Linked DNA regions of Oryzias latipes. The protein of the gene in region 1 binds, or shares a complex with, the protein of each later gene. Links are inferred from orthologs where the notes say so. Each region holds a gene or a part of one and is shown on either strand. Other genes may lie near its edges.

The links.
Region 2: the proteins of clspn (region 1) and chek1 are in contact, whole or in part, in a crystal structure (PDB 7AKO), measured with the Homo sapiens proteins. The link is inferred for Oryzias latipes from reciprocal best matches to the Homo sapiens genes CLSPN and CHEK1. Residues at the interface, in NP_071394.2 of Homo sapiens: Glu938, Leu940, Leu941, Leu943, Cys944, Ser945, Gly946; in NP_001107593.1 of Homo sapiens: Lys53, Lys54, Cys57, Met61, Arg129, Thr153, Val154, Phe155, Arg156, Tyr157, Asn158, Arg160, Glu161, Arg162.

The regions. Positions count from the first base shown.
Region 1 is NC_019869.2:20,039,192-20,043,004, forward strand, and holds part of clspn (claspin), read right to left. Parts: intron 3,117-3,813; coding exon 2,779-3,116; intron 2,709-2,778; coding exon 2,556-2,708; intron 2,480-2,555; coding exon 2,420-2,479; intron 2,343-2,419; coding exon 2,270-2,342; intron 2,196-2,269; coding exon 2,093-2,195; intron 1,838-2,092; coding exon 1,302-1,837; intron 1,234-1,301; coding exon 1,045-1,233; intron 970-1,044; coding exon 809-969; intron 604-808; coding exon 485-603; intron 411-484; coding exon 358-410; intron 274-357; coding exon 80-273; intron 1-79.
Region 2 is NC_019872.2:13,136,557-13,140,818, reverse strand, and holds the start of chek1 (serine/threonine-protein kinase Chk1), read left to right. Parts: upstream 1-1,248; 5' UTR 1,249-1,504; coding exon 1,505-1,569; intron 1,570-2,442; coding exon 2,443-2,557; intron 2,558-3,964; coding exon 3,965-4,073; intron 4,074-4,185; coding exon 4,186-4,250; intron 4,251-4,262. UniProt on the Homo sapiens protein: Serine/threonine-protein kinase which is required for checkpoint-mediated cell cycle arrest and activation of DNA repair in response to the presence of DNA damage or unreplicated DNA.

The DNA.
Region 1 (3,813 bases):
CTCAGACTTCTGTCGCAAAATTAAAACACTTAAAATAACTTAAAAATGAAAATTCATAAACTTTTCTGAAGTTGTCTACCTTCGAGGCCGAGCCAAGGAAGTTGGGCCTGAAGAAGCATGGCGATGGCGACCGGAAGGCGGCGGAGCCGAATGCCGCTCTCCCGGTGGCGCGCTGGTTGTTGACGGGCTGGTAGGAGGTGAGCATGGATCCTGCCAGCTCGAAGCTGCTGTTGTGGCTCATGTCCTTCACCAGGGACAGGGAGTCCTCCTCCTCTGTGGGCGGGGCACAGACAGATGGCGCCCTTTTCAACCCAACATGCTCGTCAACAGGAAGTGGCAAGACCAGCAAGCACTCACCAGTCTTGTTGCTGCTGTCGGGCCCAGGTGGCGGCGCTCTCCTGACGCCGTCGCTGAAGAAGAACGTAACGCGTTAAAGTCTTAAAAAGTTTTTTTTTTTAAACAGTTTTTTTGCGGGGGAACGAACCCGGTACGAGAGCACGAGCTGCCGGGAAACAGCATGAGGGTGCCGTCGGCGTGGACAAGGTCGGACACAGGCGCCACCTCGCCTTCTTCTTCAGCGCCGCCCAACAAGTCATCCAACCCCTGAAACACAATTGTTTTGGAATTTTTAAGAACCATCTGAAGACCCTCTGAAGGTTTCCATGATTTATGATTTTTCTGGATTACACCAGCAGGGGGAAGCACTGAGGCTCAAATCCATCAGGGAAACCTAAATGGTTTTCCTTTCGCTGAGTCTGGTGGTTTTTGTTTTTTTAAATCTTTCAGATAAAACCCTTAAAGTTCTCACCTCCTCTTCCTCCGACTCATCTGTCATGTCCTCCTCCTCTTCCTCCTCCTCACAGTCTTCGTTGTCCAGGCGGTGCAGCTCAGCCCTGCGGGCCCGCTCCTCCCTGCGCCGCTGTGCCATGGCGAGCTGCAGGCGCTGCTTTAGACTCAGCAGCTTCTCTCCTTCAGAGACGCGCCAGTTAACCACACCCCCACTACTACCCTGTAGCTCCGCCCACGCCTGCTGCTCTTCCTCACCTGGTTTGGCGGGGACCGGCTCTTCGGCGCCATCTTTGACAGTGATCGTGAGCGTCTCGGACCGCAGTTCCTCCTGCCCTGAGGGGGCGCTGTCTTTGCGCACGATGTTGAGCTGGAGCGTGCGCTCTCCGGGGGGGTGCGCCGGGGGTTGAATGTGACGAAGGTAGCGTTCTTTCAGGGCCGCTACGCCTGTGGGGGGTTGGCGGCCATGAGCAAAACGGAGGGGCAGGTCAAAGATGCAGCGGAATCAAACTCACCTGGGTTGAGTTGGGGGGGCTCCAGCTGAACGAAAGCGCCCTCGTCCGCGCACAGCTTTGCCACAGGCGGGGGGTCCAGGCCCAGCTCCTTCAGTCTTTTCAGCTTCCTGGTTTTGACGAGCAGAGGAGCAGGAGGCTCCGCCTCCTCTTGCTGCTGGACCTCAGAGCCCGACTCTGCAGCAGTTCTGGTTTCCTCTGGAGGCGGGGCCAGGCTTCCCCGCTCGCAGTCAGAAACAGGTTTCTCCGTTGCGTCTGACTCCTGCAGACTCTCCGACAGATAAAGCATCGGGCCCGATTCCAGCTCCGGATCAGAACCTCCAGAAGCTCCGTCTGGCCCACAGAGACTCTCTCCGTGGGCTCTCTCTCTCTCTTGCTGCGGGGACGAGGTCGCTGAGGGCACAGGCAAAGACTCAATCTGATTGGTTGAGGGCTCCAGGGAAGCAGGGGTTTCCTGCTCTGTAGTTGGTTGGCTGGACTCCTTCACGGGAGGAGCGTCGGGCGGCGTCTCCAACATCATCTGAGAGTATTTTGAAGATCTGATGGGAGAAAGATGAAATATTGTTTTCAGAGCAAAGATCTTTGATTTGTTCGCAGGTTCAACTCCAGGGTTGGAGAGAAACTCAGCGCGACTTCCTAGTGCCTTTACATGAAGGGGCTTTTATTTTGAAAAAGCAAACCAACTTCCTGCCTTTTTTGCACTGCAATTCTTCTGCTCAACGACTTAAACGCCTATATCTCAGAGTCAAACTCCCAAACAGAACAAACTACGTTTGTCGTGGGGAGGGTCTTACTTGAGCAGTGCCATTGCGGGACCCTGGGGGCGGGCTTTTCTCCTGTAGAAGTCGTGGATGCTTTTGGGCTCTGGGATGTGGTATGGCAGACCCAAAGAGGACTCTGTGGGGGCAGGAGGGGATGTTAGCTCAGGTGGAGCGGGTGGGGGCGCCGCAGATGGGCGGAGGAGCGCTCACCTCGGATCAGGCGCTGCGACTCGCTGTGCAGCTGCTTCATGGCCTCTCGGCTCGCCCTCGCCGCCTTCCTCTCCTGTGGACAGGAGAACAACAAGTTGATCACATGACTGACACTTCCCTGGCTTGGGGGGAGACTCTGGCTCCGCCTACCGCGCGGTGGGGCTTCTCCGCTGCCTCGTCATCGTCATCCCCCTCACTTAGAAGGCGTTCCTAAAGAAACAGAACCTTTGAGCAAGGCTTCATCGTGGAGCCCCAGCAGACGGCTGACTCGGATATTTATCTTAACCTCCTGCTTTTTCATCTTCTGCTTGACTGCAGCTCGGATGGCGTCCAAAGATTCCTCCTCCTCCTCTTCTTCGTCGTTTAGCCCTGTGTCGAACAGGTCCGTGTCGCCCAACGGACACCCGCTGTCGTTCAGCGATCGCGGCAAAGCACCACCCTAACGAGACAAGACGGGTTTTTACCTCACCATCTCTCTGTTCCGATCCGTTTGAGCAAGCAGAACTTACCTCATTTTCATCGCCAAACCTCCTCCTCTTCAGCTTCTCCACCGCGTTACTTCGCCTCTCCTGTTTCTCACGCCGCCTCCGGCTCTTCTCTCTGTTCTTCGCCTCTGCCTGCTGCGACTCCTCCCTTCCATCCGACTCGCCGTCCTCGCTGTCGGTGAGCCGGTGGGCAACTCTCCTCTGCGCTCCTTTCCTGCTGCTCTGCTCCTCCTCGCCGCTGGATAGCTGCTGAGCTTCTGCCACAGGGAAGCCGTTTTCTGCCGCTTCCTCCTCCTCGCTGTCACTGTCTCTGATGGCGACACGGCGAGGCTTTCTGTGAGCCGTGATGTCATCATCAGAGTCTGCAAAAACAACAACAAAAAAGAGAATCTGTAAAAAAAATAAACATGAACCGAGAATGAAGACTTAATCCTGAAGAAGGTGTTCACATTAGACACAGAACCTCAGGGCTCTATTCTCGGCCCTTTCCTGTTTTGTCTTTATCTGCCTCCAACAGGAGGAGGAGGAGGAGGAGGTTGTGGAGGAGCAGTCATGAGTCTGGTTTGTAAAACAGTGCAGCTTTTTTTCTTTTTTAACATAAATAATAATTTGCGACAAAGCTTCATGTAAAATTCATTTTTTTATGTTTTATCTAAAAACTGTTTTTTTTAGAGTTTCCTCGTGTTTCTCTAGGCATCCCGTATCAGAGTGACCCAGAGAAGCACTGCACGTTTTTCCAACATCCCGATCATTCTAGATCAGTGGTTCCCAGCGAATGCGGGCCGGTACTGGTTCGTGGGACAGTTAGTACAAAGAGAGACAAAAACACATAGAATTTGATTCTGAGGGAAGTTTTATTTAAATATGCATGTCAAGGTGGATTTTTGTTTATTATTTTATTTAGAAAATGCCAGTTTTAGTGAGTGTTTTCTTCTTCTTTTTTTATCCGTCGCACCAAAGTTTTTTTTTAACATTTCTGAGTTGAGGGAAAATCTAATTCACATTTTAATGGTTCATTCATCTTCTAAATCTGTTTATTCCCTTTCGGGGTCACGGGGC
Region 2 (4,262 bases), on another chromosome or scaffold:
GTTAAAAGTAACAGTTTGAAATTTGGGTTGTGTAAATGAAGCTTTTTTTAAGGAGTTATGTAAAAAAAATTCTTTGAACAAAGATCACTCTTTTATTTATTCAGTTTCAAAAGACTGATGCAACGTGAGACTTTTCCCCAACTGCAGTATTTGTCCTTCTTCATGGTCTGATTTAGATCAAGACTAAAGTTCATCTAAAAGAAGGTGAAAGGATTTCAAACAGTTGTATGAAAGTATTAATAAGTTCATGCTTGGAACTTAATGTTGTCCCCTTCTATGAGGAAAATGCAGCTCTACGTGCTGAGGAAACAGCTTTCAAATTTGTATTATTTGCAAATAACAATCCATGTTAATTTTAAACGTGTCAATCCTTCTGTTAAACAACATACAGAAAATACAATTTTGGGGAATTTAGATGGAATTCAGCTTGTGTGAATTGTGCTACATTTGGTAAGTTTCTGCTCATAGCAATTTTACCTTAACATGCTCAGCAGTGAGATGTGGTGAGTGCTGGTGAGGCACTGATGTCATCAGTCAGTTTAACAAATATATTCATATCAATTCAGATTAATTTTAGTTATACAGCACATTTCATGTAAAGAAAACAGCTCAAGGTGCTGTTAATCAAATCAAATAAGGATGCAAAAACACCAATGCAAAAATTAATAAATAAGCCCCTATGCCACAGATTAACTTATTTATACCATTTAATTGGTAACACTTGAAGTGGGTTGTTTAAGATTTCATTTCAACATTTTTGTCAATGTAGGATAGAAAAAAAATCACCAAAGTTTTTATTATTGACTTACTTTCGCTTTAATACAGTTACACATGAAAAAGAACTTTGATAAGTCCATGAAAATGCTTTTAATAACATTATAATTTAGGCGACATTGCACCAGCAAGCAGCACTGGCTGTGGCTCGTAACTGATTTGATGCTAGCACATGCAGATTGTTGAATTCACTCGCACAGCAAATAAAATGAAACAACAATATCACAACGGGTCATCAATTTAAATAGAGCATCTTTGCGACCGTTTGATTGACAGCAAATTAAAAGGAGAAATACTCAGACATGCAAAAATGAACTGATTTTTATTACAACTGTTCTCTTTCATAAGAAAAATGCCAGAAAGACATGTCAAAAACTTTCCTCGGAGGGATACTTATGAGTGGAATGTAATATGTCCTCCAATTCCGGAATGACCCGCGTGGTGGCGGTAATGCACAAAAAAGTGTTTTCCAACAACAGAAGAAGAAGAAACGGAAGTTGTCACTGGGAAAGTTCTTAGCGCCAAATTCGTGAAGCTTTGCTGGTTCTGAACCGAACTGGCTCGATGGATATCTGTGAAAAGGAACAAGAGGAGACAGCAGCCGTGTAGATTGGACTTTTCAGTCTGACCAAACCAGGCTCTCTGAGCCGAGCAGCAGCTGTTGTCCACTTTCAGGACTGGTTCTGTTCTGACCGGCTCTCTCTCTCTGTTCTCCATCCTCATCATCATCATGGCGGTGCCTTTCGTGCAGGACTGGGACGTGGTCCAGACGCTGGGAGAAGGAGCTTATGGAGAGTAGGAACCCTTTTTCTTTTTGGACCCTTCAGAAAGTCTTTTCATGGCGTAGCAGGACCACACGTGTTCATTAGAACCCACACACAACATCTGCACACACATCTGCTGAAGACTAGTAGAGGAGTTAGTGAGCGGGTTTCAGTTTTGGAAGATTTTGACACTTATCCCTTGTGCTATCAAAGGCACGTTAACGCTGGGAGTGGGGTCATCTGGACCCCACAAGTCAAGACAGTGCGCTGAACCTTTTTTTTTCAATGATTTGTGATCTTCACTGGTGTCCATGGATTCCATGAAATCTTTCCACCTTTATCCACCTTTGTCATGGTAGGGAGAACACGTCAATGTAAGGGTGGGGTCATCTGGACCCCATAGCACAAGGGTTATTGATGGATCAAAGCCAAATCTAACTAACAGAAAACTTTCATTGTTGTAAATTAGACATAAAAGTAAAAATCATTGTAAATGTTTTGCCATTAAAATGATTACAAGCATAACATATGATATGCTTAGATTAAAGCGGTCCGAATCTGTTTTTAAATATTTTAGAATAGGACCATGTGGAAAACCCATCAGAAAAAGTTATGTAGAAAGAGTTTTAGTGAGGATTTATCACACGGGAAGAGAGGCAGGAGAAGAACAGCTGTATATGTATTCAGATAAATTATAAAGATGAAAGTGTAATGCAACAAAAAGGATAAGAATCTGACATGAAATTATTATTTACAAAAAAATGTTTTTTTGCAAACACATTTTTAACCAAACTGATTTGTTTTGAATAGAAATTTAATAAATGAAGAGGGAGCAATGCAATTGAGAATTGATTTTATCCTTATTTTTGGTTTGTTTTTGTTCCTACGCTGATCTGGTGTTCAGAGTGAGGCTGCTGGTGAACAGGCAGACGGAGGAGGCGGTGGCGGTAAAGGTGATCGACACGTCACAAGCAGAGGAGTGTGCAGAAAATGTCAAGAAAGAGATCTGCATCCATAAGGTATCCCAGCCACGTCTAAAACAGCTGGTCCCAACCAGGCACTTCTGACACAAATCATCTCTCATTTTTGTTGTTTAAGCAATTTGTTTACAGATTAAAAAAGGAATCTATTGAATAATTTTTGCATTTTTAAAAACCTGAATAAGTACCCATTCTTACTGGTTAATTAAAAAGCTTTGAACTCCCTCTCCGATTGTCTTTTGATCTATTTTCAAAAAATGTCCCTGGTGGTCTTTCAATTACGATTATTCCATTATTAGCCAAAATGAAAAAGAAATGTGTCGTTTTCTAAGACATACAGTTAGGACCATAAATATTTGGACAGAGACACATTTTTTCTAATTTAGTTTCTGTACATTACTACAATTTGAAATAAATCAACTCAGATGCCATTGAAGTGCAGACTTTCAGCTTTTATTTCATGGGTTGAACAAAAAGATTGCATAGAAATGTGAAAAACTAAAACATTTTTTAAACACAATCCCTTCATTTCATGGGCTCGTAAGTAATTGGACAATTGACTTCCATGCTATTGCATGGGCAGGTGTGGGCAATTCCCTTGTTATGTCATTATGAGTGAAGCAGATAAAAGGCCTGGGGTTGATTAGAGGACTCGTGCTTGCATTTTGAAGATTTTGCTGTGAACAGACATGTGGTCAAAGGAGCTCACCATGCAGGTGAAAGGAGCCATCATTACGCTGAGGAAACTGTAGCAGTTCATTAAAAATATACCTCTGAGTTGTGGGCGGAACCGTTGACACGGAACAACCCTGTCCTCACTTCCTGACACCCAGCTTTTTACATGTTATTCCACTAGCTTACAGCCCCTCACATCCTCACCCTAACATTATCGGTGCAACACAAATGGCGAGCAACATTGGACCCATGCAGCCGTACAGTTTCTAGCCAGATACCACCTCGGACGAGGAAGACGAAGACCTACATGGATATATTCATCTACAGTCAGGACCATAAATATTTGGACAGAGACACATTCTTTCTGTACATTACCACAGTGAATTTTAAATAAAACAACTCAGATGCCATTAAAGTGCAGACTTTCAGCTTTTATACCATGGTTTGAACTAAAAGATTTCATAGAATTATGAAAAACTAAAGCATTTTTTAAACACAATCCCTTCATTTCATGGGCTCTTAAGTAATTGGACAAATACAAAGGGAGACATTGTATTTTCTACATTGCAGATACGTTCTTTTTCAAACGGTCTTTTTTTGTGATTCGCAACCATTTGAAAATAAAAATACTCAAAAATACCATTGCAAGCTCAATTTTCTTCATATAGTTTTTTCCATCATGAGAACATGTTGAGAAAACCAGAAACACAATTTTCGTCAGAGTGGGTCTTTGAAATTGTCTGTTCATCTGAAATATTATTTTTTTTGTAGATTCTCAACCACTGCAACATTGTAAGGTTTTTCGGTCATCGGAGAGAAGGAACAACCGTCTATCTCTTCCTAGAATACTGCACTGGAGGGGAGCTGTTTGACCGCATTGGTAAGATGCTCACTTTAAATTCAGCGGAGTCTTTACTTGTTTTGTCTCTAAGGATTATTGTGGTTTAATGTTGGTCACATTGTTTGCAACTTCTAACTAATGTTTCCTCCAGAACCTGATGTGGGGATGCCAGAGAGAGATGCTCATCGGTTTTTCCAGCAGCTCATCGCCGCTGTGGTAAGTAACTCT